7 linked regions of the Sus scrofa genome follow. The protein of the gene in region 2 interacts with the protein of the main gene of each other region in a biochemical or structural test. Links are inferred from orthologs where the notes say so. Each region holds a gene or a part of one and is shown on either strand. Other genes may lie near its edges.

Region 1 (3,526 bases), on a different chromosome or scaffold from region 2:
TCAGAACTTCTCCCCTTGGGATTTTTTTGAGGAAGCCATCAGATGTGTGAAAGTGCTTTCAGACCAGCAAGTGGGATTCCCGTGGGAGGAGCTACCCTGACGACCAGCCGTAACAGGCTCCTTAAGGGGAGCGGCGCTTGCAGAAGGGACCATAGCAGTCAGCCCTGGTGCAGGCCGCCCAGACCGAGATGCACCTTTTTCAAGGGGCGCTTGGCTGTGCTGAAGGAGATGGGTAGCTGTTCTCACCCTTCTCTTTGCCTGCAGGTGGTTCCCGGGCCCTGGTTCATGGGCGGCTGTGGCGTCAGGACGGGGTCCTGGCTGTGTCCTGTGCCCAGGAGGGCGTGATCCGAGTGAAGCCCAAGGTTTCAAAGAGCAAGCTATAGCCAGAGGTACCAGCTTGGCCTGGCACTTCAGGGACCTTCCTTCTCTCCCCACTCCTGAGGCAGGAGTTACTGTCCAGGGCCAGCCCTCTGTCCCTGACATCCAATAAAGACTCATACCACTGGAGCTGCCGTCTTTAATCCCCCTGGGGCCAGAACTGCAGCCCTCCCTCCAGCCATCGACTCCAGGACTCCTGGGGCAGAGTCCCTGGCCCTCTGGCCAGGCTGCCTATGGGTTTGGAGGCCCAAGGGAAAGGGAACGTTGACCCCAACCTGGGGCAGCGGCATCAGACTCTCTCCCTGCACCATCCCAGCCAAAGCTTGTCCTGAGCCCAGCTCTCAACAGAAGCAGCGCGTTTCCTCAGTCTGCTTCAAATTCTTTGCACAACTTCTGGGGGTTCCCAGCACCCCTGGTAGCCTCTCAACTACTGTCCATGTCCTCATCCACCCTCATCCCACCCCTCACCCTGGGGCAGTGCCTCTCCCTGCAGTGGCCTCAGGTCTGGGCCAGGCTAGTCCAGTACCTCCTTGATGAGTAATTCTTTGAGACTTGGGGGTGGCGTGGGGGTCAGGCCTGCCTCCTGCAGGGCCTGCAGCCGGGCCTCCGACTGGCGTTTGTCCAGGCCCAGGCGCCAGGAGAGCCGCACGTGGGCCTCCAGAAAGGGTGCCAGCAAGGGGTGAGGGTTCTTGTTCCCCAGCAGCTGTAGGGCCTTCTCACAGCATGCCCGGGCCTCCCCAGGGTCCTCTAGCTCCTGGTGGCACACGGCCAGCCCCGCCAGGGTCAGCAGAGGGCGGTCTGGGCCCGAGGGGATGCCCAGCTGGGCCTGCAGCTGCCAAGCGTTGGCCCAGAGTGCCAGAGCCTCTCGGTAGAGGCCAGTGCAGGTGAGGCTCTGCGCCCGCCGCAGCTCAGGCAGCACGAAGAAGTCCTGCAGGTCTGGGGCTTGGCGCAGCTCAGGCACTGCCTGGAGGTGGCCCAGAAACTGCTCGAAAGCCCGGCTGCGGCGGGCGATGGTCTCTGCAGTAAAATTCCGGCGCAGGCGCTTTCGGGGGAAGGAGATGGCAGCCATGGGGCCCCGGAACTGCCGCTGCAGGTTTCGGTGCAACCGCTCAAAGTCCGAGTAGCGGCGGGAGATCTGGGCTGGCTGGCGATCTGGCGGCCCTGGGCCCATCACGGCGAGGGTGTAGAGCTGCGGGGAGGGTGGGGGTCAGGGCGGGTGCAGGTTCTCCCTGGGTCCCTTGGCCTCCCCACCCCCACACTGCCAACTCTCTTCCCCCACCTCTTCCCTTCACTCCCGAGAGGGGGCGCCCAGGAGGGTGGGAGCTACAGGGGCTGCAGCTGGGAAGCCCAGCCCCGTCTTACCTGAGGCTCGTCTGAAATGACCCAGGCCCAAGGCAGCACAGGGAGAAAAAGACAGAGATGAGCTTCAGTGCCCAGACCAGCCGCCCCCTTTGCCCCTTCTAGGGAGAACTCCCTACCCGCAGGGCCATGAATGCTTCTGACAGTCCCCTGGAGAGCCAGCGGGGCGCTGAACCCAGGCTCATCTCGGGCCTCTAGAGCCAACCTTTAACTTGGAGCTCTACTCCACTCTGCACACATAACCCATATCCCTAGCCAGGTTATTCCAACCCACACCTGGGAGACAGGCCTTCAGACAGTGACCACTGTGGAAAATTCTAACCTCGGGTCAGCGTCCAGCTCTGGTAGATGGAGCGTTGGCCCGGGTCAGTGTTTATCAAGTGTGGGCCGTGCATGTACCTGAGATCTTAGGTGGTATGTACTGGAGCAAGTAATACTGAATCAGAGGGAGGAGGTGATGCCCCTTCTAATTCTCTGTGGGCCTGACTACGAATTGAGAAGCTCTCAGTTTGGTTTAAGAAAGCCATTCTCTGCAGTTCCCGTTGTGGCTCAGGGGGTTAAGAACCCAACTAATATCCATGAGGATGCGGGTTCGATCCCTGGCCTCACTCTGTGGGTTAAGGATTTGGCATTACTGTGGCTGTGGTGCAGGCCAGCAGCTGTAGCTCCAGTTCAACCCCTTGCCCAGTAACTTCCATATGCTGCAGGAGAGGCCATTAAAAAAAGCCTTTCTCCAACTCTTGTCTCCATTTTTAGAAAAGAGACAAAGTGAATTTCAGGTCAGGGCCTTCTTCAGGCACCAGCATCCAGGCAGAGTTTAGAGACACTTTTACTTTCACTGCTTTTATTCTTATAATTTTTTTTTTTTTTTTGGACTGTGCCCAGGCATACAGAAGTTCCTAGGCCAGGATCAAACTCACACCACAGCAGTGATGCTAGACCCTTAACCCACTGAGTCACCAGGGAATTCCTCACTGCTTTTATTTAATTTTGTTTGTTTGTTTTTTGGCTGCCTTATGGCATATGGAGTTCCTGGGCCAGGAATCAGATCCAAGCCATTGCAACCTATGCCACAGCTGTGGCAACGCTGCATCGTTAACCCACTGTGCTGGGGCAGGGGTTGAACCTATGTCCCAGTGCTGCAGAGACACCACCAATCCTGTTGTGCCGTGGCAGGGGTTCCCTCACTGCTTTTATTTTTACGTTATCTTCTCTTTATGGCAAGTGAGGCTTTCCACATACAGTTGTGCTATAAGTTGTCTTTTATACTTATTTATTTATATATATTTCTTGCTTTTTAGGGCAGCACCTGCAGCATATGGAAGTTCCTAGGCTAGGGGTCGAATCAGAGCTCCAGCTGCCTGCCTGCGCCACAGCCACAGCAACAGGGGATCCAAGCCGTGTTTGCAACCTACACCACCGCTCATGGAAACACCAGATCCTTAACCTACTGAGCAAGGCCAGGAACCGAACCCACATCCTCATGGATACTAGTCGCGTTTGTAACCTGCTGAGCCATGATGGGAACGTCCTAAACTTATTTTAAAAAATAGTCTTATTTGAAGAAAAATATTGAGCACAGAATGGTACAAATAGCAATTAGATAGGACAAGAATCGTGAAGGTGGTGCTGGAGGTTTGGGAAACACTGAACAAAATGACCTCTAAGCTTCCCCGGTCAGAAAAACCATGTATGTATTAATCTATAATAACGCTGACCGAATGAACAGGTGTGAAGGGGGATTAGCAAGCGCTGGATGTCAAAAGCCGACTAACACCAAACCCCGATT
Region 2 (3,500 bases):
TTATACCCCCCCCCCCAAGAGCAGCTTCAGAGACTTTGTTTTGGGGCATTCCTCTCTGGATTCCTCAGAAGACAGTTCCTCTGCCTTCTGCTGACCTCTTTACAAGAAAGCAAAGGGCCTCATAGCTGAGTGGATTTGCTGCGTAGACACGGCAGGGTTATAAGAAACCCAGTCATTTCACCAACCTGCTGGGGTTCTCTTGCTGGGATTCTGCCCTTGACACTATCACAGCTGAACCCCAGTCACCAGCCAGGGACAAAGCAGGCTGAGTTGCCCCTGGTGAGATGCTGCTTGCCAACTGGGCTGCTGGCATTGACCTGGGGTCTCACGGGTGTGGGCTGGGGTTATGCCTAAACCTCAAATGTACCCAGGTGTCCTGTCCTGCATGTTTAGTTGCTAAATGCCCCCCTACCCCCCCCACCAGGGGCTGGTGTCATCCACCCTGAGGAGAGCCCTGCAGGGGGTTGTTACCTCAGTGGCCGTCCACAGAGAGTTCTGGACCTTGAGCTGGCAGCTCAACTTCATTCCAGCACAGCTCATGTGCTGCACTTCCAGAAGGCCCTTCTCTGTGTTCACCACTGTGTAGTTCCTACAATGGGCAACAACCATGTGGTCAGCTCATGCCGGTCAGGGGTCCCCTCCCTCTCCCTGGCCTGGCCTGTAGCAGCCTTAGAGGAGGACATCAGCTGCCATGGCCCTTGGCCACCCCTTCCAGCCCAGAGTCCAATTCTGCCTGTTCCGAGAGACTCAAGGACTGCTCGTGGCTGGAGCAGAGCCTGGTTCGTCTGCCTGGTAATGCCTGAACATTTAGGCGCAGGAAGGCCATTCCCAAGGGGAAGAAGGACCCTCCTCTTTCTGCGACCTTTGAGGTCATGCCTAAAGCAGAAAGAGACATTAGGAGGCTGTACTGCACGCAGGCCACTCCCTGCCCCACCCTCCACTGGCCATGTCTGTCCCTACCCCAGTAAAGGGGGATCCCCCACAGCAGACAATACCGGGTCAACTAGAGACAAGACAGGGGAATTTCAGAGTATACTGGGGCCTCAATGAGTTCTCTACAAAGAACTAACAAGCTGTGTTTTATAAATACAGCCCTTCACCACCACCCCCAACCCCCTGCATCACTGGATGTCCTTGATGGGACCTTGTCCCCAGTCCAAGGAAATAAGTCAAGTGAGTGGGTAGCAGTTCTCAATGTAAAATTTTTCTGTCAGCACATTTCAGAAACCCTTGCCATTGCTGACTGAGAACATGTATCTACAGACGAGAGAGCTGAGTGAAAAATCTCCAAATGAAAACTTCCTTCAAAGTTTATATTCCCCCCTTTTTTCCCAGTCTTTTTTCTATGCATTGAAAAAGTGAAACTAGGATATTACAAATCACTTTACATTTAACTTGAAAAAAAAAGAAAAATATAGACTTAAAGGGTGAAATACCCCTATTCCCTCCAACAAGAATTTTGTGACATGCGTCCTGTGTTTGGCATGTCCTCCCTTCCTTCTCCCCCCATCCCTTCCTTCTCCCCCCATCCCTTCCTTCATTCTCGGATTGTCTCATTTTCTCTCCAGTCTCACTTCCCAGGCTCACTGCCCTTGTGCTTCTGGCCAGAACTACTTCCAGTCCCTTTCATTTATCTCACTGCATCTTAAGCTTTGCTTTATCTACGTCCGCTCAGATTTGAGCAACTTCTAGTGTTCCCACCAGACTTTCCAGAAGATTCTTCATGCCATAAAATGCTATTTTGCCTCTGAAGATATCACACTAGGTAGGTGGGAGAGGTCACAGCCCTGGCGAGAACTGAAGGGTCTTGCACAGAATGGGGCTTTCCTGGACATTGCCAAGGCTTTGATGCTACCTTTCCAAATCCCTGGGCTTTCTGTCATTCTCCTCAAATATTCTGAGCCTTTCCCCAATGGCCTTGCCCTTCCTGCCACTTCACTGAGAAAAAGAGATGCACCTGAAAGGGGGAGCACATGATATCCTACTTAGTGGCACCCTTCCTGCTGGACCCTGGGGCCCTTTCCCTCGTCTCTACTCGGCAGCTCCACTCTAGTCCCTGTCCTCTCTCCCGACTCCCAGTATCATTCACCTCTACTCTCAAGCTGCAAATAACTCCCCCATCTTAAAACAACCCCTCGCCTTTAACCCCCCATCCTCAGCAGACATCTTTTCTCTGCTTCTCTTATCCACAAACCCACGCGTGCCCATCTGCAGGCATGTAGACTGTTTTTTCTCTTGAGCAGGCTCCAACAGGCTTTCAAGCCCTGTCTGCTAAACATCTCTCATCATGGTTGTCCCCGACTGCTCCCCAAGTCCACGATGCGCCCCCCACCCTAACTCTGATACCAGCAGGGCCCTGTAAACCTCAGGCTTTACCTAGACTCCTCTTTCCCGTCCCAGAACACCACCATGTACTCTTGGTCCTGGGACGAGAAGAAGGCCGTCTGCTTCCCACAGGGCAGCTGGTACATGAAGGTTGCGAAGGTCGGGTCCTTCATCTGGCTCACCACTGCCAGGGCCAGCGGTCGCTGCAGGAGAGAGGCCATCAGGGTTGTAAACAAGGGTCGGTTTTCAACCAGATGGATGCTCAGCCTGTCTGAGACACTAAGGGTCTTGAACCAGGAAGGAAGTAGTGGAGCTGCTTATTCAGGACCCAGTCAAAGCAAGAGGCCGAAACAACTTCAAATGCCAGAAACAAACCCTTTGCCTCTGCGTCTGGATGGTGACTGTCGTCCATGAACTCAAAGGGGGTCAGCTCAGCCTAACCTCTGATATTCCACCCCCGCCCCAAGTCCAGGGACAAACAATCTTCTAAAGAGTTTTTCTCGGATCTCATTTATCCTCAACACATTAAATTAGCACCATCTAATTTGATAAATGAGTTTTAATCTTAAAACCACCAGTCTCTTCCTAAAAGGACTAGCTTCAAAATGGTAACATGGCTCTTGCTTCTTAGGAGCAAACCTTCCTCCCATTACTTTGGAGAGAGACGCGCACACACGTTCTCTCTGCCCTTGCTCAGGGGCTGTCTTGCTATAAAAGGGTTGGTTTGGTTTATTTGCAGGATGATGTAACATGAATACTGGGAGGGAAAGAAACTTCATTTTTCCTGAGAGCAACACCCATGCAAAGAAAATGAACTGGGTGTATTAAAGGCAGTTAACATCTATTGGTAGAAGAGGTGAGTAGGAAAGTGTTGCTGCATTTATTCTAGACCCTTAGGGAAGGGTGGGCAGGCAGTTATACACATGCCCTCAGCCTTGCTGTTTTTTGCTTTTTTGGCCATGCCTATAGCATAAGGGAGTTCCTGGGTCAGGTATCAAACCTATGCTACAGTAGTGACCTGAGCCACAGCAGTGACAATGCTGGATCCTTAACCCACTGCACCACCAGAGAGCTCCAATACATGTGCACTCTGGAGACCCACAGCCTCCACCCCTGGCAGGAGCTGTGGGCCCCCAGGCTCCGCTCCCAGGTACCTTCTCAGGCTTCGTGTCCCA
Region 3 (3,500 bases), on a different chromosome or scaffold from region 2:
TGTTAGCATTCAAGTTTAGAGGAGGGCTCTGGGGACAGGTGGAGGCAGTAAGTGGGGTTGGGAATGGGGGGTGGGGGATGGGAGGTAGGGGCGGACAGGGTAGAGCCACACTCACAGGCTGCGTTGGGTGAAGGTCTTGCAGGGCGTCCACGGCCGCCAGTGCCACTGGATCCCTAGTGGAGGGGGCACCCCGTAGGCAGTACAGGTGAGGGCCTGGCGACTGTGGCGGGAGTAGATGCTGGGGGAGGAGGCCTCCTTCTCGTGGATGTGGGGGGCACTGGGGACACAGGGAGCCAGCCAGTCAGCCAGCCTCCGCCACCACACCCCCCGTCCACCCACCAGCCCCTCTCCTGTCTACCCACCCATACCATTCACCACCAGCTCCAGGCTGATGTTGCGCCTCAGGCCGGCCGCGGAGTTCCACAGGGCAAGGGTGTAGATGCCCGCACTGGCCTCTGTCACCTCCTTGAGCACCAGAGCATGCGGGCTGTGGCGTCCGGACAGTGCCTTTCTGTCCTTATACCTGGCCCAGGAAGGGAGTTCAGGGGTCCGTGCACTCCTTCCCTGTGGCACCCTAGCCCCAGAATATATTGTCTGGAGGCGGGAGAGGCCAGGAGCAAGAGGCACCTCCTGCATTAGACCGGGAGGCTGCTGGGAAGCGAGGCAGGGGTATGCGCTGAGGCAGCTGACTGGAGTGGGGAGCAGATGGCCTTCAGGCCATGTGCATGGTCTCCAGGCTTGACCTGTTGGGTCTCACAACACCTACAGGCTCAGGACCAACTGAAGTCCCCATGGGGGCCTTGTCTCTTTCTCATAGGCTTCAGAGGTGTGTGCTGTGAAGGGGTAGAGGGGCAGTCCCTTGGGTGCCTTCCCCTGGTTTTCCAAGGAGAGACTCTGCGAGAAGCATAGCCCATGGGCACAGAGTGACACTGAAGGGGAGGCAGGGGAATGGCTCTCGGCTGCAATGCCAGAGCCCTACTGAAAGAGACATCACTTGCCTAGGATCACACTGCAGGGCAAGGCAGGGCAGGGCAGGGCAGGACCCAGGCCATGAGGCCTGCTGGGCTCTGGTGCAGAATCCTGTCTGCCATCTGCTGCATTTGTGATCCTAGGCAAAGGGCTTCACTGTCCTTAAGCCCCCATGTCCTCATCTGAAAACCAGGGAACCTATTTGCAGGTGCTCTCAGGTCTACCCAAGATAGAGACTTTAGTGTCAGACACACAGAGGCTGCTTTGGGAGCCAGGACTGGCCTGTCTACCCATGGATCTCCATCCATTACTTACTCATAATCATTCTATGATGACTGAGACAAGTGGGCCCCTTTGGGGCTATGGTCGTCACTAGTGCCCGGGGACAGGTGTCTCAGTGGACAGTGGGCCCAGCTAAGCACTCGTTGGAGGCAGATGTTGGCCAAGTGAGAAAAGAAAGGCCAGATGTGGTGGGAATGGTGAGAGGCAGTCAGTTACCTGAGGACCAGGCCTGGGCTGGATCCTCTATGCAACAGAGCCAGTTACCCTCCCAGACAAAGTCAGTACTGCTGTTCTTAAAGGGCAGGGGACAGGGCCCTGGGTGTCTCCACCCCTGTGAGGGAGGCTGGCAGACTGCATCATGCATCAGTGTCTCTAGAGACAAGTCCTGGTCCCATACCAGGTGCCCCAGTGGACTCCAAAGCCTATGGCCTCAGAGGTAGGGTCATAGCAAGCCCAGGCCCAGGGCATTCTGGGGCCCTCCCAGGAGAAGCCTGCTTCTAGCCTCTGGTCAGTGCAGTGGGTGCTGGCTAGGGGGCTTCTGCTTGCCCTGCTATAGGCTTGCAGAGAAGGTCATCCTGCCTGGCGGGAAGTGCCCCAGACCAGGAAGGCAGGACTTCTCTGGCCAGTTGTGAAAGGGTGGAGTAGACGCCTCTCAGGAGGCTCAGAGGTCAGGTAAGAATGCACTTCCTCCTTCCTGGCCTGTTGTCCTCATGTGTATGATGGGAGTCAGCCTAGTACGTGACTTCCCAGGGTTGGCCCATGTGGACAGCTCAGACGGCCCCAGAGTACATGGTGGGGTGCTGTACTTTCCTGAGCTCTCGGGGAGCACCTGGTGAGGGTGAAGCCACCACTGAAGGACCCCTCACTGACCCTTGGCCTACCCTGCAAGGGACACCTTACTCTGAGGTCAGAGTCTAGAACTCACTGCTGTACACAGCTCAGGCCCAGCCCAGCTCATGACCGTCTGGGAAACCCCTGTAACATCTCCGAAAGTCTGGTTAGAAGCATCCTGGGGTTGGCCAGCTGTTTGGAGAGGAGCCAAAGAAACCTGAAGCCATTCTTCTATGATACCTTCTACCTGCGGCCCTCAGGAGGCTGAGTGGGTGCAGGCAGCGACAGCTAGATAAAGCCCTGTGCTATGCCCACCCACATATAACGGGAGGCCGGTATTTACACCCTTTCAGAGTTTAGCAGTGATCCAGGTCACCCTTCTCTCTGGCCAAAATACGCACTTCCCTTAGAATATTCATCAGGGTTCCCCACGCAGGGCACAGGCCCAGAGGGGTCTCCATCCAGGTCATAGGAAGTGGGCCTTGATGGGGAGAATGCTGCCTGTCCCTCCCTGTGGTTCTTGCTTACACTGGACCTGGTAGGTAGTGATGGGCAGGAGTGAGGGAGGTACCATTGGAACTCCGGCAGGGGGTACGCGGCCAGCTTCACGGGCAGTTTCACCAGCTCGTCTCCTGCTGTGGCCTCCAGGACGGGACCCTTGAGCCACTCGACACTGATGAAGGGCTTTTCTGCCAGACAGGAGGCATCAGGGTAAAGCTGGGGCTGATGTCGCTGACCCGCCACCACGCAGGGATTCAGAGCCACCCTCAGTGGCCAGATGCCTGCAGGCTGGGGCTCACCCTGTCCTCTGGGGCATGGGAGCTGGGCAGTCTGTCCACTCGCGGCCCTCCCTTCCCACTGGCTGGACTCCACACTGCTCAGATGCACCACAGACCTTGACCCTGGGCCCACCCTGTACAAGAACCCTTGTTCCCCAGGCTTGATGACTAACACCCGCCCTAGCCCAGGCTATGCTGGGCACGATGACCTGACAGGCCGTACCATGCACAATGACCTCAGTGCTCTCCTGGAATTGCTGGATGCCATTGTTGGCCTGGCACACGTATGGGCCCAAGTCGTGCTGGCTGACGTTGTGGATGGTGAGGATGCTGGAGAGCTCCGTGTGAGTCTGCTGGGAGCGCCGCTCCGGCACCCACCTACCCCGCTCTGCCTGCCGGGGACCAGGGGAAGTGTAGGGTCAGAGCGGGCTGGCTCTGACAGAACCAGCCATCAGAGGCACACACCCTCATCCAGCCAGAAGTAGCAACAGAAGCCTTGTGCCAGACCCAGAGTTTTCCTTGGGATGGGAAAACTTCCCTATCAGATAGGGCTCCGGGGGCAGGACTGGCTCTGCACCTCCTCTACGTGTGTGCTGGACCAGGGTGGGCAGAGATGGGGATCCTGGGGATGGTTCGGGC
Region 4 (3,500 bases), on a different chromosome or scaffold from region 2:
TATGAATGGCAAGACCCCAGACTAAAGAGGCCTACAAGAAAGCTTACCTTCCATGTGGCAGCATTGCGTCGGAAGTAAGCAAACATTCGTGTGAACCAGTTATAGATTTCATTTAGTGTTAGCTGCTTTTCTGGAGATTCGAGAATGGCCTGTGAAGCACAAGTGACAGAAAAAGATAATTTTGACCATGTCAGCAGAAATGTCATTAAACAGTCTCTTGAAAATATAAAATCATCATGCTACCGAGTTAAATCCTAAGAAAGGTTTCACAAAATGATCTAAGATTAATGGTTGTATTTACCAGTTCAATAGCAAAATTCAAAATGGAATTATCTAATTGTTTTGAGTTTTTATTTCTGTTTCCGTACAGAAATATTAATTTATTAGTCATTCATAAAGCAGAATCAAAGAGAAATGCAAAACATTTCACTAGCTGATTAAAGCTCAGTAATTATTTAGAGCTCAGATTAATTCTAGGGATCAGAGATTACTGTAGCTTGTGATAATTGACTTGCCATCTTTAAACAGGCTCATTTTCACTGTTGTGTGAAATGAATTTCCTAATAATCACATCGTATTGTAATACTTAATCAAAAGCAATTATGTTATATATTGCGGTTTTAAAAAACCTTATAGAAAAGGTTTTAGCATGCTTGCATACTAAACGGTTTTAAATCTACTTCATCAATATATCCATGCCCACGTATATACCTTCTGATATAATTTCACATACTGTGTTATTTACTTACCTGCCTAATTAAAGATGCATATGTAAATGGTGGTCTAACTTCTGCGTTCTTATAAAATTCTTGGTTCTGCGCAATATCTGCTAAATAAGAATCATTGTCCTATTAATTATCACTTTTTAAAAAGAGGCTGGTCTACAAGAATTGCTGACTACAATTCCACCCAAGGCAAAAATGGAGCAGCTACCTGAAGAAATGGGCACGTTGTATTTGTCTGAGTACCGCCTGCGGATGGGTCCCACTGTGTGCATGCTGGTGGTGGTGATGACGGAGGGGCCTTGGGTGACGGGAGTGATGGGGGCGGTGGGGGTCGTAGGAGTATGAGGTAAGCTCTGCGGAGAAGCCTCTGACGCCGATTTGGAGAGTGTGACACTGGAGACCAGATTCAGCTGTGAGGAAAGGAACACTTCTTAGAAGACCTTCAGAAAAACAGAGCAGCCAAGAAAGCATCTGAAATCTGGCAGGAATGACACGGGGTGGGGCGGGGGGGAGGCCGGCTCGTTTTATGTCTCAGAGTAGATACTTATCGGCAACTGAAAGGAGACTTGAGTTCCCACATAAAAATAGTTCCCTCGGTAGTTAGTTGAAAATACCTCTCGCAATGTTCTCCTTTCCTGTTGTTGAGACAGGTGTTTTCCAAAGACCATTAAGTAAGTGTTTGCAGACGCAAAAAGGGGTTCCCTAGCTGGGTGAGTTTGAGAAATTCTGGGTCAAAACATGTCTTTAATCATGACTTCACACCCCTTTTAACAGCTTGCTATGCCTCCTAAACCTCCAAGAGGAAAGATGGGTCCCTGTAGCATCATTGAACACAAATGGTTCAAGAAGCACCAGTTGGGATATACATGGGTATTGACCTGGGCTCTTCAACAGAACCTTCTGTAATGTCCCAGTCCAAGTGAGAAACTGGTTTTACTTAATTTTAATAAAAAGGAAAGTTTGGTGTATAGCCACTACCACCCTCGACAGCAATGGGGTGGGCTACCTCAACTCCACGATGCAACTTCACGGATGGAAAATGCTGCAGAGAGAATTGGCCTGTGACTCCTATGAAAAAGAGTGGCACTGATCCAGTAAACATTCATTTAGTTCCATCAGTTGGCAGAGACTAATCTTTGCAAGCTTTATGTGCAATCTTCATTAAACTATTGGCTTAAAAAGAATATGTCATAGGAGAGATCCGGAACTATACAAATTCTCATTTTTTTCTCCTTCCAGTTTCAAATGTGTAGTACTCAAGGGGAATAATCCATTGCTTCAAGTAAGGAAGTAAATACTTATCTGAAGTAGTACAGAGGAAAAGGAATGTATACTGTTTTGATCCTGCCTTTCCTCTTCCTGTTTCGCCTGCACCTTGAGGTGCTTCACTTATTAGTACTGGTAAAGTTCACTGTTATTGAAACAGTAAATCTGGCTACGCTGACGACCTTGGTTGTTTCCAACATCTTTCTTCAGTCTATCCAGAATTGCAACTTCAGAAACTTGTAGCTGCCCCCAATCCAAAAACGTGCAGTAAAGGAGGCTTACTTGATATCATTTTCTCAAGCCAGATTTTGAATCACTTAATAAATTTGGCCATTTCACCACTGTAACAAGTCCTAAGTATAGGGCATTATTTGTGGAAAGCATTAAAAATGAAATGCCTCTGAGATCATAATCAAAGGACAGGTTAAAAAAGAGTTCCAATTTGTTGGGAAGACTCAACCTTACTCATACTCTAGTAATGAGAGAGAGATCAAGTATCATTGAGGAAATATTAATGGGAAAATGTAAACATGGTGCTGGAAACTGAATGTTGGGTTGCAAGCTTTGAGCTGTGCTTTCCTTTATATCCCTCCCTTGAAATGCCAACGCAGCCAACACCAAATCCCTCCTGCTTCCAGCCCCTTTCTCCCCCAGGCCTGATAAGGGCAAGCTATGGAGATGGCACCACCCTGAGGACCCCCCACCCCTCCCACCCTAGCAAGCTGGGCAGATGCTGGGAGCTGCTTTTTTTAATTAGTGCCAGCGACTTGACTTCATGACACAAATGTGCACAGTAAGTACCAAGTCTAGGGTAGCAGCCATGAGATGAAGGAGGGCAGAAAAGCTAAGGAGGAAGGCTGGGGCTGGCCTCCTCTTTGCCTTGGGCCTTCTTCACCAAGTACAGGAACACCATGGCTAAGCATCAGCCCCAGCAACGGGTCAAGGAAATGAGTGCACGAAAGGCTAGTGCTCATAAATACACAGCTTTTAAAATGCAGATGCCGTTAGGTCTAAGAACATCAGAACGCTCGGCAGAGTCACGGGTACCATTTGTAAAAGTCATCTTGTAAACTACCTGCCACTGAGCGGTTTCACTTAATTCTCATACCATCACTAATACTTGAGATGTTATTATTCATACTTTACAGATAAGCAAACAGAGCCTCGGGAGAGATTAAATAAGTTGCCCATATTCACAACACAGACTCAAAATCAAATACACACTTGTGATTCTAGGCCCTTTGTATAATACTCTCCTTATGTCCAGAAAACGGGAAAAATAAATACTAGCCAGGTTCATTTTTCTGCATGCTCATTTTGGGAAAGGATTCAGGGAATGGCTTTTATCCCTGCTGATAAATAACATTTGATAAATATTGTGAGCAAACCTATAGCATTGGGCACCGAAATGACAAAAACCGGAATAGAACAGACAATGGCTGCCCTTGGAGGGCTTACCATGAAATGTAGACAATGATCAAAGGAAAATAGGCACAACAACCAGAAAAC
Region 5 (3,500 bases), on a different chromosome or scaffold from region 2:
TCTTGATTATGGGTTTCGACAGACCCTCTCGAGTAGAAAGAGCACGGGAATGACAAGGAGCACAATAAATGTTTTTATATAATATACTATAAAATGTGGCCATTCATCAGATGTCCGTGGTACCAAAAAGCACTCACAGGATTACTGATATAAGATCCCCATGAAAGAGTCCAAGGTCTCTGGGACAATCCCTCGTCTCAGTTGATTCTGGGGTTGGGAGGAGAGATTTCCTTTCAAAGCAGTGATTTTACTGCACGAGACGCATGACAACAAGATAATGTAATTCCACGGAAAGCAAGGAGTAGGTTTTGCTAGAAACCGGCTCACGGCTTTCCAGTCGGATGGGGCACTCGAAGGATGGCCCCTGGACAAAGATTTAATTCTCTGCACTAAAACATGGGTAACGTACACGCTGAGGAACGTGGTCAATGTTTATCGATCAGAGCACATTTTTTTCTTTTTTTTAGGGCTGCACCCATGGCATATGGAGCTCCCCAGGCTAGAGTTCGAATCGGAGCTGCAACTGTCAGCCTATGCCACAGCCACGGCCCCTAGGAATCCGACCTGCGTCTGTGACCTACACCACAGCTTGTGGCAACACTGGATGTTTAGCCCATTGAGCGAGGCCAGGGATCAAACCTGCTTCCTTATGAATACTAGTCAGGTTCTTAACCCACTGAGCCACAACAGGAACTCCTATTATAGCAATTTTTTAAACATTTTTTTTAACATTCATGTATAGTTCATTTACAGTGTTGTGCCAATTTCTGCAATACAGCAAAGTGATTGATCCAGTCACATACATATATTCCTTTCTTATATTATTTCCCATTAGGAGAATGGATATAGTTCCCTGCGCTGTACAGTAGGACCTCATTGCTTATCCATTCTTTTTTTTTTTTTTCCTTTGTCTTTTTTGCCTTTTCTAGAGATGCTTCCCCACAGCACATGGAGGTTCCCAGGCTAGGGGTCTAATCAGAGCTGTAGCCTCCGGCCTATACCAGAGCCACAGCAATGCAGGATCCGAGCTGCATCTGCAAACTATACCACAGCTCGCGGCAATGCTGGATCCCTAACCCACCGAGCAAGGCCAGGGATCGAACCCGCAACCTCATGGTTCCTAGTCGGATTCATTTCTGCTGCACCACGATGGGAACTCCACTTATCCATTTTAAATGTTACGGCCTGCATCTACCAATTCCAAACTACCCATCCACCCCACCCCTTCCCCCTGCCCCCCTTGGCAACCACAAGTCTGTTCTCTGTGTCTGTGGCTCTGTTTGTTTTCTGTGGTCACAAAGAAGCTGCAAGAAGCACCCATTCCCCATGTGCTGGGGCAGGGGCGGGCACCACCCCTGAGGAAGGGCACGACCCCATGGCTTTCGAGCTTGTGGATGAGAAAAGGCCTGCTGGACCTTGCTCTGACAACAGCAAGGGGCAGCACAGTGGCCTGGGAGGACCACTGGGCTCTCGGAGCCAAGTCAGGAGCCGTCAGCCAGGCAGCCACAGCCCGTGCTTTCAAGCTCCCTCCATACACCGCACAAGGATGCTCTCTCTTTCGGACAGTCAGGGCCGTCAGTGGAGCTAGCTAGCTCAGTTCTGGGGCTGAGCCCAGAAAGCCAGCGCCATTCTTCTTTTAGGACATGCTTAGAAAACCAAACCAGCCAGGAGGAGAGTTACTGGTGTGGCGTGTCCCCTGGGGCGTCGAGAGAGGTGATGGCTCTTACAGTTCGTTGGTGCAGTTTGCTGGCTTATCCATCCTGTGTCCTTCTTTGAGCAGCTTAAAAAGTTCCTCCACGGGAATCCCTGGGTAGGGCGAGCCCCCTAACGTGAAGATCTCCCACATTAACACCCCGAAGGACCAGCTGCAACGAAGGGAGAAGACAGTATTACTAAGCCATCTGAACACAGAAACCTTACACGCCCAGTTAAGAAAATAAACGCCTGCTGGCATCTTGCATTCAAAGACAAATGACCGGGGGCCCTCCTGCAGTTCATGCAGCAGGCTTCTTCCTGCCCCCCAAAGAGCATCCCCAAATGATGTTGCTGAAGGATGTTCCAATGGAATTTTCCATCAACAGGTAACTGATGGTAAAAACCATCCCTGTTCTTTTTTTGCTGGGGCGGGGGTGGGGGCCGAGGGCCATTGCTAGAGATTTTTTTCCCCTCCTTCCATCACTCTCAGCTAAAACTCTTTGTCTTTGTTGTTGTTGTTGTTGTCTTTTTGCCATTTCTTGGGTCGATCCTGCAGCATATGGAGGCTCCCAGCTAGAGGTCAAATCGGAGCCGTAGCCGCCGGCCTACGCCAGAGCCACGGCAACTCGGATCCGAGCCACGTGTGCGACCTACACCACAGCTCACGGCAACACCAGATCCTTAACCCACTGAGCAAGGCCAGGGACCGAACCCGCAACCTCACGGTTCCTAGTCAGATTCGTTAACCACTGTGCCACGACGGGAACTCCTAAAACTCTTTGTCTTAATGCAGCGTGAGCAGCATGAATTTCAAGCTGCAAAGCTCTTTATGCTCCTGTCCAGTTCTTCCCTCAGCCTCTGTACCTGACCCCAGGGCGGTATGGGGTATGGGCAGTGAACAGAATGAGGCCAGCGTGCTGATCCTGCGAGGTAACAGCTGCCCAAGGTGGCCAGTGGTTCATCTGATGGCACAAATGTTCTCAACTTACTCAAGTCATAAAGGAAGTTAGCGCCGAGCAGGGATTAGGACGTGGCATCCTGTGCCCGGGATGACTGTCAAACAACAGAAGCGGAAAACACCCCACAGGGCACAGTTTACACCGGACCTCGCAGAGGCCCAGAGCTGGATTCTGAGCCTTGTTCAAGAGACAGCTCCCGGGCTGATCAAGCTGAGAATCCCGCATTTGCCTGGGTCACTGGAAACACGCCCTCCATGATTCTATTAGGGTGGGTTTCAGATGTGAAACTGCCTTCAGTTTTGTGTGGAGCTAGAGCAGCAGCACAATCCAGGCCATCTGCTCACTGCAAAACGGGAGGCACACGGCTTCCCCTTCTCGGATCACTGAAGACCCCCAGCTGCTATACACAGCCTGGGATCAAGGCCTGCCCCAGAGACCCTCCCACCCACACAAATCAGAGTAGCTCAAATGTGTGTGTGTTTTGTTTTGTTTTGCCTCACCTGCAGCATGTGGAGGTTCCTGGGCCAGGGATCGAATCTGTGCCTCAGCAGTGACCTGAGCCACTGCAGTGACAATGCTGGATTCTTAACTCACTGAGCCACAAGGGAACTCCTCGAGTGATTTTTTTTTTTAATTTTGGAATAATTACAGATACACAGGAACTTGCAAAAACATAACAGTGAGACCACCTGTACCTTTCACCCAGTTTCTCACAACGGGAACATCTTTCAACCCCATTTCCAAAGCTAAAATTCTGAAACACCAGCTGGAGCCTGGCCTTGGTAGTGTTTTTACGTGTCTCGTCCTAGAAATACTGTATGGTTTTCCCTCCATTTCTATGACATT
Region 6 (3,500 bases), about 130 Mb from region 2:
TTATTTATTTGTCTTTTTGCTGTTTTTTGGGCCGCTCCCGTGGCATATGAGATTCCCAGGCTAGAGGTTGAATCGGAGCTGAAGCTGCTGGCCTACACCATAGCCACAGCAACGCAGATCCGAGCCGAGTTTGCAACCTACACCACACTCATGGCAACGCCAGATCCTCAACCCACTGAGCAAGGCTGGGATCGAACCCTCAACCTCACGGTTCCTAGTTGGATTCGGTAACCACTGAGCCACGACGGGAACTCCAAGGTGGCTTTTCATTTTAAAGATAACATCTACTGTGTGGATTTTTCTCCCTGAGGATAAACTACTATCACAATAAGAGATTTTTTTAAAAAGGAAGAGACTTAATGTAAGAAGTATGTGCACGGTCAGCTCGGGAAGCTGTTAACAACAAAACTCCAGCAGGACAGAGAACCGCACGAGCCTATGGGAGCCTGTGGACGTACCGTCACACGCTCGGGCCTCAACAGGCTACCGGGATGACGCTGGTCCCAAACGGCTCCTTGGCTGAGCTCTGCTGCAGCAACTCATCAGCCCAGCAGCACTGGCTCCCTGGCCCACCAGCTCCCGGGCGGGGCGCCCTACCTTGCCATCGGAGGCAGTGTTGATCCTGTAGTGGTACACTCTCCCTTCGTATCGCAGCGAGATGGACCTCTGCCCGGGACTGCTCTCGCTCTCCCGAACCAAGAAGCTGCCGTTGATCCCGCTGCTCAGCAGGTACTCGGCGGCGTTGCGGGACACGGGCCCGTGGTACCAGGAGTGCTTCTCCAGACTGCTGACCGGCGTGACATAGTTGCTGGGGACCCAGCCTTGGCCGTTTCTCGTCTGGGCTTCGCACCACTCCCCATTGTGGTTGTAGCCCAGGACCCGGAGCTTTTCCCCTGGGAAGGAAGGGACCAAGTCAGACGGCTTGGTGTGAAAAGCTACTTTTGCTCATTCTCATTCATTCTGTATGATTACTAAAAATCTTCAAATTCCGAAATACCTACTTCATGTTAACAAGTCCACATCAATATACACGGATACGTGAATAAGAGTACATGTTTACATACGAAGCTTCCTGTTTATACTGGATATACAGATAAATACATAGCCTCCGTTTTTTTGGTTTGTTTGTTTCTTTTTTTTACAAATCTATACTCAAGTGCTCTGTTCTTAATATAAGGAAGCTTTCTGGGAAAAATACTTTTTCTTTTTTTTTTTTTTGTCCTTTCAGGGCGCACCCACAGCATATGGAGGTTCCTAGGCTAAGATTGAATCAAAGCTGTGGCCGCTGGCCTACACCACAGCCACAACGTGGGATCCAAGCCTTGTCTGTGACCTACACCACAGCTCACGGCAACACCGGATCCTTAGCTCACTGAGCGAGGCCAGGGATGGAACCCACGTCCTCATGGATGCTAGTCAGATTCATTTCTGCTGAGCCACGATGGGAACTCCCCAAAATACTTTTTCTTAAAAAAATAAAAAGTGCCTTCAGGGTTTGATCCAGATGTATTCTTCAATTTAAAATAGGGAAAGCTGCTGCTTTTGCTGAGAACTGCACAGGAACTTCTCCTTAAGGAAAAGGGACCCTTTTATAAAGACACTGTTAGTTTTGGGGGATCTCTCTGTATTCCAAACTTTAGAGCTGCTCTTTCAACCAGCAAAGGGTGGCTAGTCAAGCCACAGCTATACCTGCTTTCTGTCCCTTTCACCCATCACCAGCTGCCCACACCTCCTTTACCTTTAGTTATGCTCAAAGTGTTATCCCCACTGGCCACGAAATCATACAGTGCAACGAAAAGGTTGGGGTCATTTTCACTGGGACCAGCGAGAAGGTTTTCCTTAGAGTTCCACCGAGCTGCTTCACTCAGACCCTGGGGCTCGAAGTCAGATGCTACTGGTCTCTGAAGGGCTTCTGGAAGACAAAGACGGAAAGAGAAGAAAGAAACAGGAGAAAGAAGAATTGGGGGAGAAAAGTATTATTCTCAGGAACAAAAAAAGTCTACACTCCCAACATTATACATCCTTAATTCATTTCTTTCTTTTCTTTTTTTTTTTTTTGTCTTTTTGCCATTTCTTGGACCGCTCCCATGGCATATGGAGGTTCCCAGGCTAGGGGTCTAATAGGCGCTATAGCCACCGGCCTATGCCAGAGCCACAGCAAGGCCAGAGCCACAGCAAGGCCAGATCCGAGCCACGTCTGCAACCTACACCACAGCTCACGGCAACGCCAGATCCTTAACCCACCGAGCAAGTCCAGGGATAGGACCCGCAACCTCATGGTTCCTAGTTGGATTCATTAACCACTAAGCCACGATGGGAATTCCCTCATTTCATTTCTTAACATTTGCACATATTATGTTATTAAGAGTAAAAGTGGTTTAAAAAATGGCAACAATCTTTGCCATTGCTTATGTTATAAAAACGGAGCAAAAATGTCCTGCTTTAAAACATTTAAAAATGTATGAAAGTTAATATATGCATATAATTTAAAAATCACATAGTACTGGAGGGCTTATGAGGACAAACAGGTTCCATCCCAACCTTCTCCACACCCAGAGGCAACAGCCTTTTTTTGGTGATCACGTCCCTCTCTGTAAACATAAGCTGTGTCACTATAATCTTTGCATTTTCAGTACCAGACTTATGCTTTTCTTTTTTTTTTTTTAAATAGTTATTTCCCCAGTACACTTGTTTTTCTCCTGTACAGCAGGGTGACCCAGTTGCACATACATGTACACTTTCTATTTTCGCACGTTATCCGGCTCCATCCTAAGTGACTGGACAGAGTTCCCAGTGCTACACAGCAGGCTCTCATGGCTCATCCACTCCAAAGGCAAGAGTCTGCCTCTATTAACCTCAAGTTCCCCGACCACCCCACTCCCTCCCACACCTTTATTTCTTGTTCTCCCTGCTGGTGACAGTGTCTCAACTATTTACCTCACCAGGATATTAACATCCTACCCTTCCTTCTAGCCCCCCCGCCGCCCAAGTACGGCCTCCTTTCTTTTTTTTTTTTTTATTTTGTGTAAAAGAAACTCTATTTTCCTATTCTGTAATAATAAAGTCTTTCATTTTTGTAAGTAGATTCTAAAGTTGAAAATCAACCGACATCTTTTATATGAGGAATGTGTATTCACTACAGCATTAAATATGGTTCATTATTTTTTCCCCTGAGTTCCTTCTTGTCTTTTTTTTTAAACCATGTTCAAACTCTCCATAATTCTTGATGATGATGACACTACACACAAGGGTTCTCTCAAGCCAACAAAACTGACTCCAAGTAGATCTTAACGCTTATAGAATATTGCGGCGTGAAGTCCAAATACTCTTTTGAGGAAACTGCAGTGAGAAGTCAGCCTTTTAAAGAGGAGGAAGAGGGACAGCCCTCACGTGGAGTGAACAGAAGGGTCGACCGTATGTTTAGGTGACACACAAATGGCAACAAAACAAAACTTTCAATGTTCCTCCTTCATGGATTTAAAGGACCCCAAACATCTCTT
Region 7 (3,500 bases), on a different chromosome or scaffold from region 2:
AGGATGCCTCCCCCCCCCAGAGAGGTGGACCACCTGGTTCCTTCATGGGTCCTTTACTCCCCAGGTGACACATCTCCACTTTTCAAAAGATAGCTATGGACGTTCTTGGCCAGACCTCAGCAATTTGGTCCCAAAGGTAAGTGATAGCTCTGCTGGATGAACTTAAAATGCCAACAAGCCCAAGAACTTGTCCAAGGATTGAAATTGGGGGTGGGGCAGGAATGCTGTGCCGACGCCAAGGATTTTGCACGGGTGACGAGTGACTCTTCCTTTTGTGGAAGGGATGTGATGTTGCTGTGGTGGCAGTTTTCCATAGTAATGGCTGTTGCCACACATCTGGCACCTGATAATATGGCTCCCAAAGCCCAGGGGTCCACACAGAGCACTCCTCACCCTGAGTCTCCTGCCAGGATGTGGAGAAACCCTGGGGAGGAGGGGGTGCTGGCTCTGTACCTCCTGGAGGCTTCACTTGCAGTTGCTGTGTCCCCCCAGGTATATTATCGGGGCTCCTCCAAAGGTTAGCATGGCTGCCACCTTCCCCATTGGAAATGTCCTGTCCCCTTTCTGTGAGGAAGGAGAGGTCAGGACAGAGGGGTGGCTATGGGAAAAAAGTTTCCTCGTTTATCAAGGTATCAATATAAGTGCTGCTATTTGTTTGTCAGAACCAAAAATGACTTAATAGAAAATAGAGGTCAACCAAAATCCACTGAATTTCTGAGTGTAGCAGGCCAGCATAGGGCTGGGTTTTTTGATTTTTTTTTTAAGGTATTTTATTTAAAATGGAAAGTTCCAGGAGTTCCCATCGTGGTGCAGTGGAAACGAATCCAACTAGGAACCATGAGGTTTCGGGTTCGATCCCTGGCCTCGCTCAGTGGGTTAAGGATCCAGCATTGCCGTGAGCTGTGGTGTAGGTTGCAGACTTGGCTTGGATCCTGCCTTGGCTGTAGTGTAGGCTGGCAGCTATAGTTCCGTTTCAACCCCTAGCCTGGGAACTTCCATGCGCCTTGGGAGGGACCCTAAAAAGCAAAAAAAAAAAAAAAAAAAAAAAAAAAGGAAAGTTCCAGTTCGCCATGGGGCCAGAATCCTTAAAAGAAACCCTGACTGGAGGTGTGTTAGGGGGTCACTGTATACTTGCTCATTTATATCTTGCTGACCAAATTGGCAAAATTTTTATTTTTCCTGGTAAACATTAAGAAGGGTCCTTTTCAACCTCACTCTCCCTAACAAAATCTTATTTGTCATACATGCATGAAGTAAATGGCTGTTGAAACAGTCCACACATCTGTAATGATATGAAAATTAGTGTAGCAAACAAAGATTTCCTTTCTTAGGTACCACAGGCCTCAGGCAAAGTCAGCTCTATCCTAATAGGACCCTCAGATTGTGACCAAGTGGAAACAAAATTGGTCAGGCCTCAGAGACCAATACAAACAGCACAACAAAAGGGTTATTATTTGTGAAAAACTTAGGTTTGCCCCACGATGTGACTTAGTATGCTTGAAGTTTTCTATTAAAGTAACTTACTCTTGTTTATGAGTTTTAGAAAGTACATAACCGTTCTTGTGAAAGGTTGGGCTTATTTTAATTCATAATGCAGCACAAAGTTATCGCTTTGCCCAAAGCCTGTCTCAGACAGAACCGAAAAACACCAAGATGTTGAATCAGATTGAAATGTGATCACGGACGTGTCTAACTTTGAAAATGTTTTGAGAACTGCACCTGTGCGTTAAGTTCCTGACAAATTCTACACAGAAACTTGGTGCTGATCATAATCATAATATTTTTAACATGCCTTTTTTAGTGTAAGAATAAAATATGTTTGTTTTTCATTAAACAATGTGTTTTTTAACTTGGGGGGGCAAATATGTGAACTATTAACCCATAAATTTTCCTCATTCTTAAAAAAAGGGGGGTATCCAAAACATAATAAAAATGTAACAAGCAAGAAAAGTGAGTTTAGTGATTTAATGAACCCACTGTTAGGTCATTTTCTTATATGTATGGAGTTGAATACCTACAAATCAAAAGACCTTTCATGTTTTAAATTAACTTTTGAGATGGTTTATGGTCAAAACTCCCTCTCCCTGCAGTTTTACTTTATTGCAACTTTTTATTTTAAACTCTACCCTAAAAATCTGCTCCTGTGACTTGATGGAGGTGTTAGCGGTGGTGATGTTTTGCAGTATGTTGTTCACCTGAAACTTACACAATGTCGTATGTCAATTACATCTCCGTACCAGCTGGGGAGAAAAGAAGGATTGTGCTGGGAAACCACATTTATGTACAGTGTCTCATGCTTGGCAGCTCACCATGGGCCCGGCCGTGTTTTGAGAATGGCAGGCAGCCCGTCACAGTGCCAGAACTTTCCACTGGGAGCTCTTTGGCGTGGCGCCGGGGGCCAGGGGCCGGGCTGGGGGCGTCGCTCCTGGTCCGTGACACGAGTCTCTCTCTTTTTGCAGGTGAAGCTGCTCTCAGGGGGGAGCCCCGGCTGCAGACTCTCCCCGTGGCCTCGGCCCTCACCGGTCACCGCACGGGGCCCCCGCCCATCAGTCCCAGCAAGAGGAAGTTCAGTGTGGAGCCCGGGGACGACGACCTGGACTGTGAGGGCGACCATGCTTCCAAGATGAGTCGCATCTTTGCCCCCCACCTGTAAGTTCCCTGTCTCTGAAGCGAGGCCGCTGTTCGATTGCAACTTGGGGCTGACTCTGAAGGCAAGGATGCCCACTACTAGGCTTTTAAACTGATTTGAGTAACTGGGGAAACAATGGCCTCTTATCTCCTCCCAGCTAGCTTGTGCCACCACTTGCGTGTGTTCCCTGTGGGCATTAACTTTCTTGCAGGAGTCTTGGGGCGTTTTTCTGAAAACCTTGCTTGTTTCCGCCTGTACCACTCATGCTGGTTGTTGGGAGGGTAGATTGAGTGTGTGTTGATGTGCAGGTTGGTGCTGGGAGTGGGGTGATTGGAGGGGGCGGCCGGCAGCTGAGCCATTGTCTCTGTGAAGTGTCTTGCTCAGGAGTCTCGAGTTGTACCCGTGAACAAGTGCGTGTTCTCACCTTGTGTGTTCACGGTGTACGCTTGAACCTTCCCAGAGTGGGAGAGATGGCTTCCTGTGTTTGGGATGAGGAGGAGCCCTTAGGTGGGAGGTACCCACGCCTAACGCCCTGCACTCCAGTGTTCTTATTTGTGATATGAAGGCCTCCGACTCCGTGCGACCTCCTTGTGCTTGTACTTGGAAACCAGTGTGAGTCCATGCGCAGTGTTGTGACTTCTCCGTTGCATTTCTCACACATGCATCTCGCAGAGGGTGTGGGGTGCTTCTTCATGTGTGTGCAGGACTTGGTGGCACCAACCAGGCTCTCTGGTCAGTGGGTGTGATCAGAGTCCTGGCCTCATGGCAGAGGGGGGATCACTCTGACTGAAGGCATAGCTGTCTGTCTGGGTCAAAGGCCCTGCTCCTTTCCCCTCCCCCTGCGTGAATTACTGTTTAGTGATCATTCAGG

Evidence for each region.
Region 1: the proteins of LRRK1 (region 2) and SNX21 form a complex in vitro, tested with the Homo sapiens proteins (2 studies listed by BioGRID and IntAct, with this or other methods). The link is inferred for Sus scrofa from reciprocal best matches to the Homo sapiens genes LRRK1 and SNX21.
Region 3: the proteins of LRRK1 (region 2) and FLT4 form a complex in vitro, tested with the Homo sapiens proteins (2 studies listed by BioGRID and IntAct, with this or other methods). The link is inferred for Sus scrofa from reciprocal best matches to the Homo sapiens genes LRRK1 and FLT4.
Region 4: the proteins of LRRK1 (region 2) and FOXP1 form a complex in vitro, tested with the Homo sapiens proteins (2 studies listed by BioGRID and IntAct, with this or other methods). The link is inferred for Sus scrofa from reciprocal best matches to the Homo sapiens genes LRRK1 and FOXP1.
Region 5: the proteins of LRRK1 (region 2) and FGFR2 form a complex in vitro, tested with the Homo sapiens proteins (2 studies listed by BioGRID and IntAct, with this or other methods). The link is inferred for Sus scrofa from reciprocal best matches to the Homo sapiens genes LRRK1 and FGFR2.
Region 6: the proteins of LRRK1 (region 2) and ABL1 form a complex in vitro, tested with the Homo sapiens proteins (2 studies listed by BioGRID and IntAct, with this or other methods). The link is inferred for Sus scrofa from reciprocal best matches to the Homo sapiens genes LRRK1 and ABL1.
Region 7: the proteins of LRRK1 (region 2) and VGLL4 form a complex in vitro, tested with the Homo sapiens proteins (2 studies listed by BioGRID and IntAct, with this or other methods). The link is inferred for Sus scrofa from reciprocal best matches to the Homo sapiens genes LRRK1 and VGLL4.

The regions. Positions count from the first base shown.
Region 1 is NC_010459.5:48,036,608-48,040,133, reverse strand, and holds the end of SNX21 (sorting nexin-21), read right to left. Parts: intron 1,568-3,526; coding exon 893-1,567; 3' UTR 501-892; downstream 1-500. Other genes in the region: ACOT8 (acyl-coenzyme A thioesterase 8), read left to right, coding at 265-383. UniProt on the Homo sapiens protein: Binds to membranes enriched in phosphatidylinositol 3-phosphate (PtdIns(P3)) and phosphatidylinositol 4,5-bisphosphate. May be involved in several stages of intracellular trafficking.
Region 2 is NC_010443.5:139,612,626-139,616,125, reverse strand, and holds part of LRRK1 (leucine-rich repeat serine/threonine-protein kinase 1), read right to left. Parts: coding exon 3,480-3,500; intron 2,529-3,479; coding exon 2,377-2,528; intron 590-2,376; coding exon 472-589; intron 1-471.
Region 3 is NC_010444.4:78,093,008-78,096,507, reverse strand, and holds part of FLT4 (vascular endothelial growth factor receptor 3), read right to left. Parts: intron 3,254-3,500; coding exon 3,085-3,253; intron 2,772-3,084; coding exon 2,654-2,771; intron 524-2,653; coding exon 359-523; intron 278-358; coding exon 116-277; intron 1-115. UniProt on the Homo sapiens protein: Tyrosine-protein kinase that acts as a cell-surface receptor for VEGFC and VEGFD, and plays an essential role in adult lymphangiogenesis and in the development of the vascular network and the cardiovascular system during embryonic development.
Region 4 is NC_010455.5:52,367,774-52,371,273, forward strand, and holds part of FOXP1 (forkhead box protein P1), read right to left. Parts: intron 1,136-3,500; coding exon 934-1,135; intron 830-933; coding exon 750-829; intron 150-749; coding exon 48-149; intron 1-47. UniProt on the Homo sapiens protein: Transcriptional repressor. Can act with CTBP1 to synergistically repress transcription but CTPBP1 is not essential. Plays an important role in the specification and differentiation of lung epithelium.
Region 5 is NC_010456.5:131,187,502-131,191,001, forward strand, and holds part of FGFR2 (fibroblast growth factor receptor 2 precursor), read right to left. Parts: intron 1,866-3,500; coding exon 1,728-1,865; intron 1-1,727. UniProt on the Homo sapiens protein: Tyrosine-protein kinase that acts as a cell-surface receptor for fibroblast growth factors and plays an essential role in the regulation of cell proliferation, differentiation, migration and apoptosis, and in the regulation of embryonic development.
Region 6 is NC_010443.5:270,873,141-270,876,640, reverse strand, and holds part of ABL1 (tyrosine-protein kinase ABL1), read right to left. Parts: intron 1,913-3,500; coding exon 1,739-1,912; intron 894-1,738; coding exon 598-893; intron 1-597. UniProt on the Homo sapiens protein: Non-receptor tyrosine-protein kinase that plays a role in many key processes linked to cell growth and survival such as cytoskeleton remodeling in response to extracellular stimuli, cell motility and adhesion, receptor endocytosis, autophagy, DNA damage response and apoptosis.
Region 7 is NC_010455.5:67,737,707-67,741,206, reverse strand, and holds part of VGLL4 (transcription cofactor vestigial-like protein 4), read left to right. Parts: intron 1-2,459; coding exon 2,460-2,649; intron 2,650-3,500. UniProt on the Homo sapiens protein: May act as a specific coactivator for the mammalian TEFs.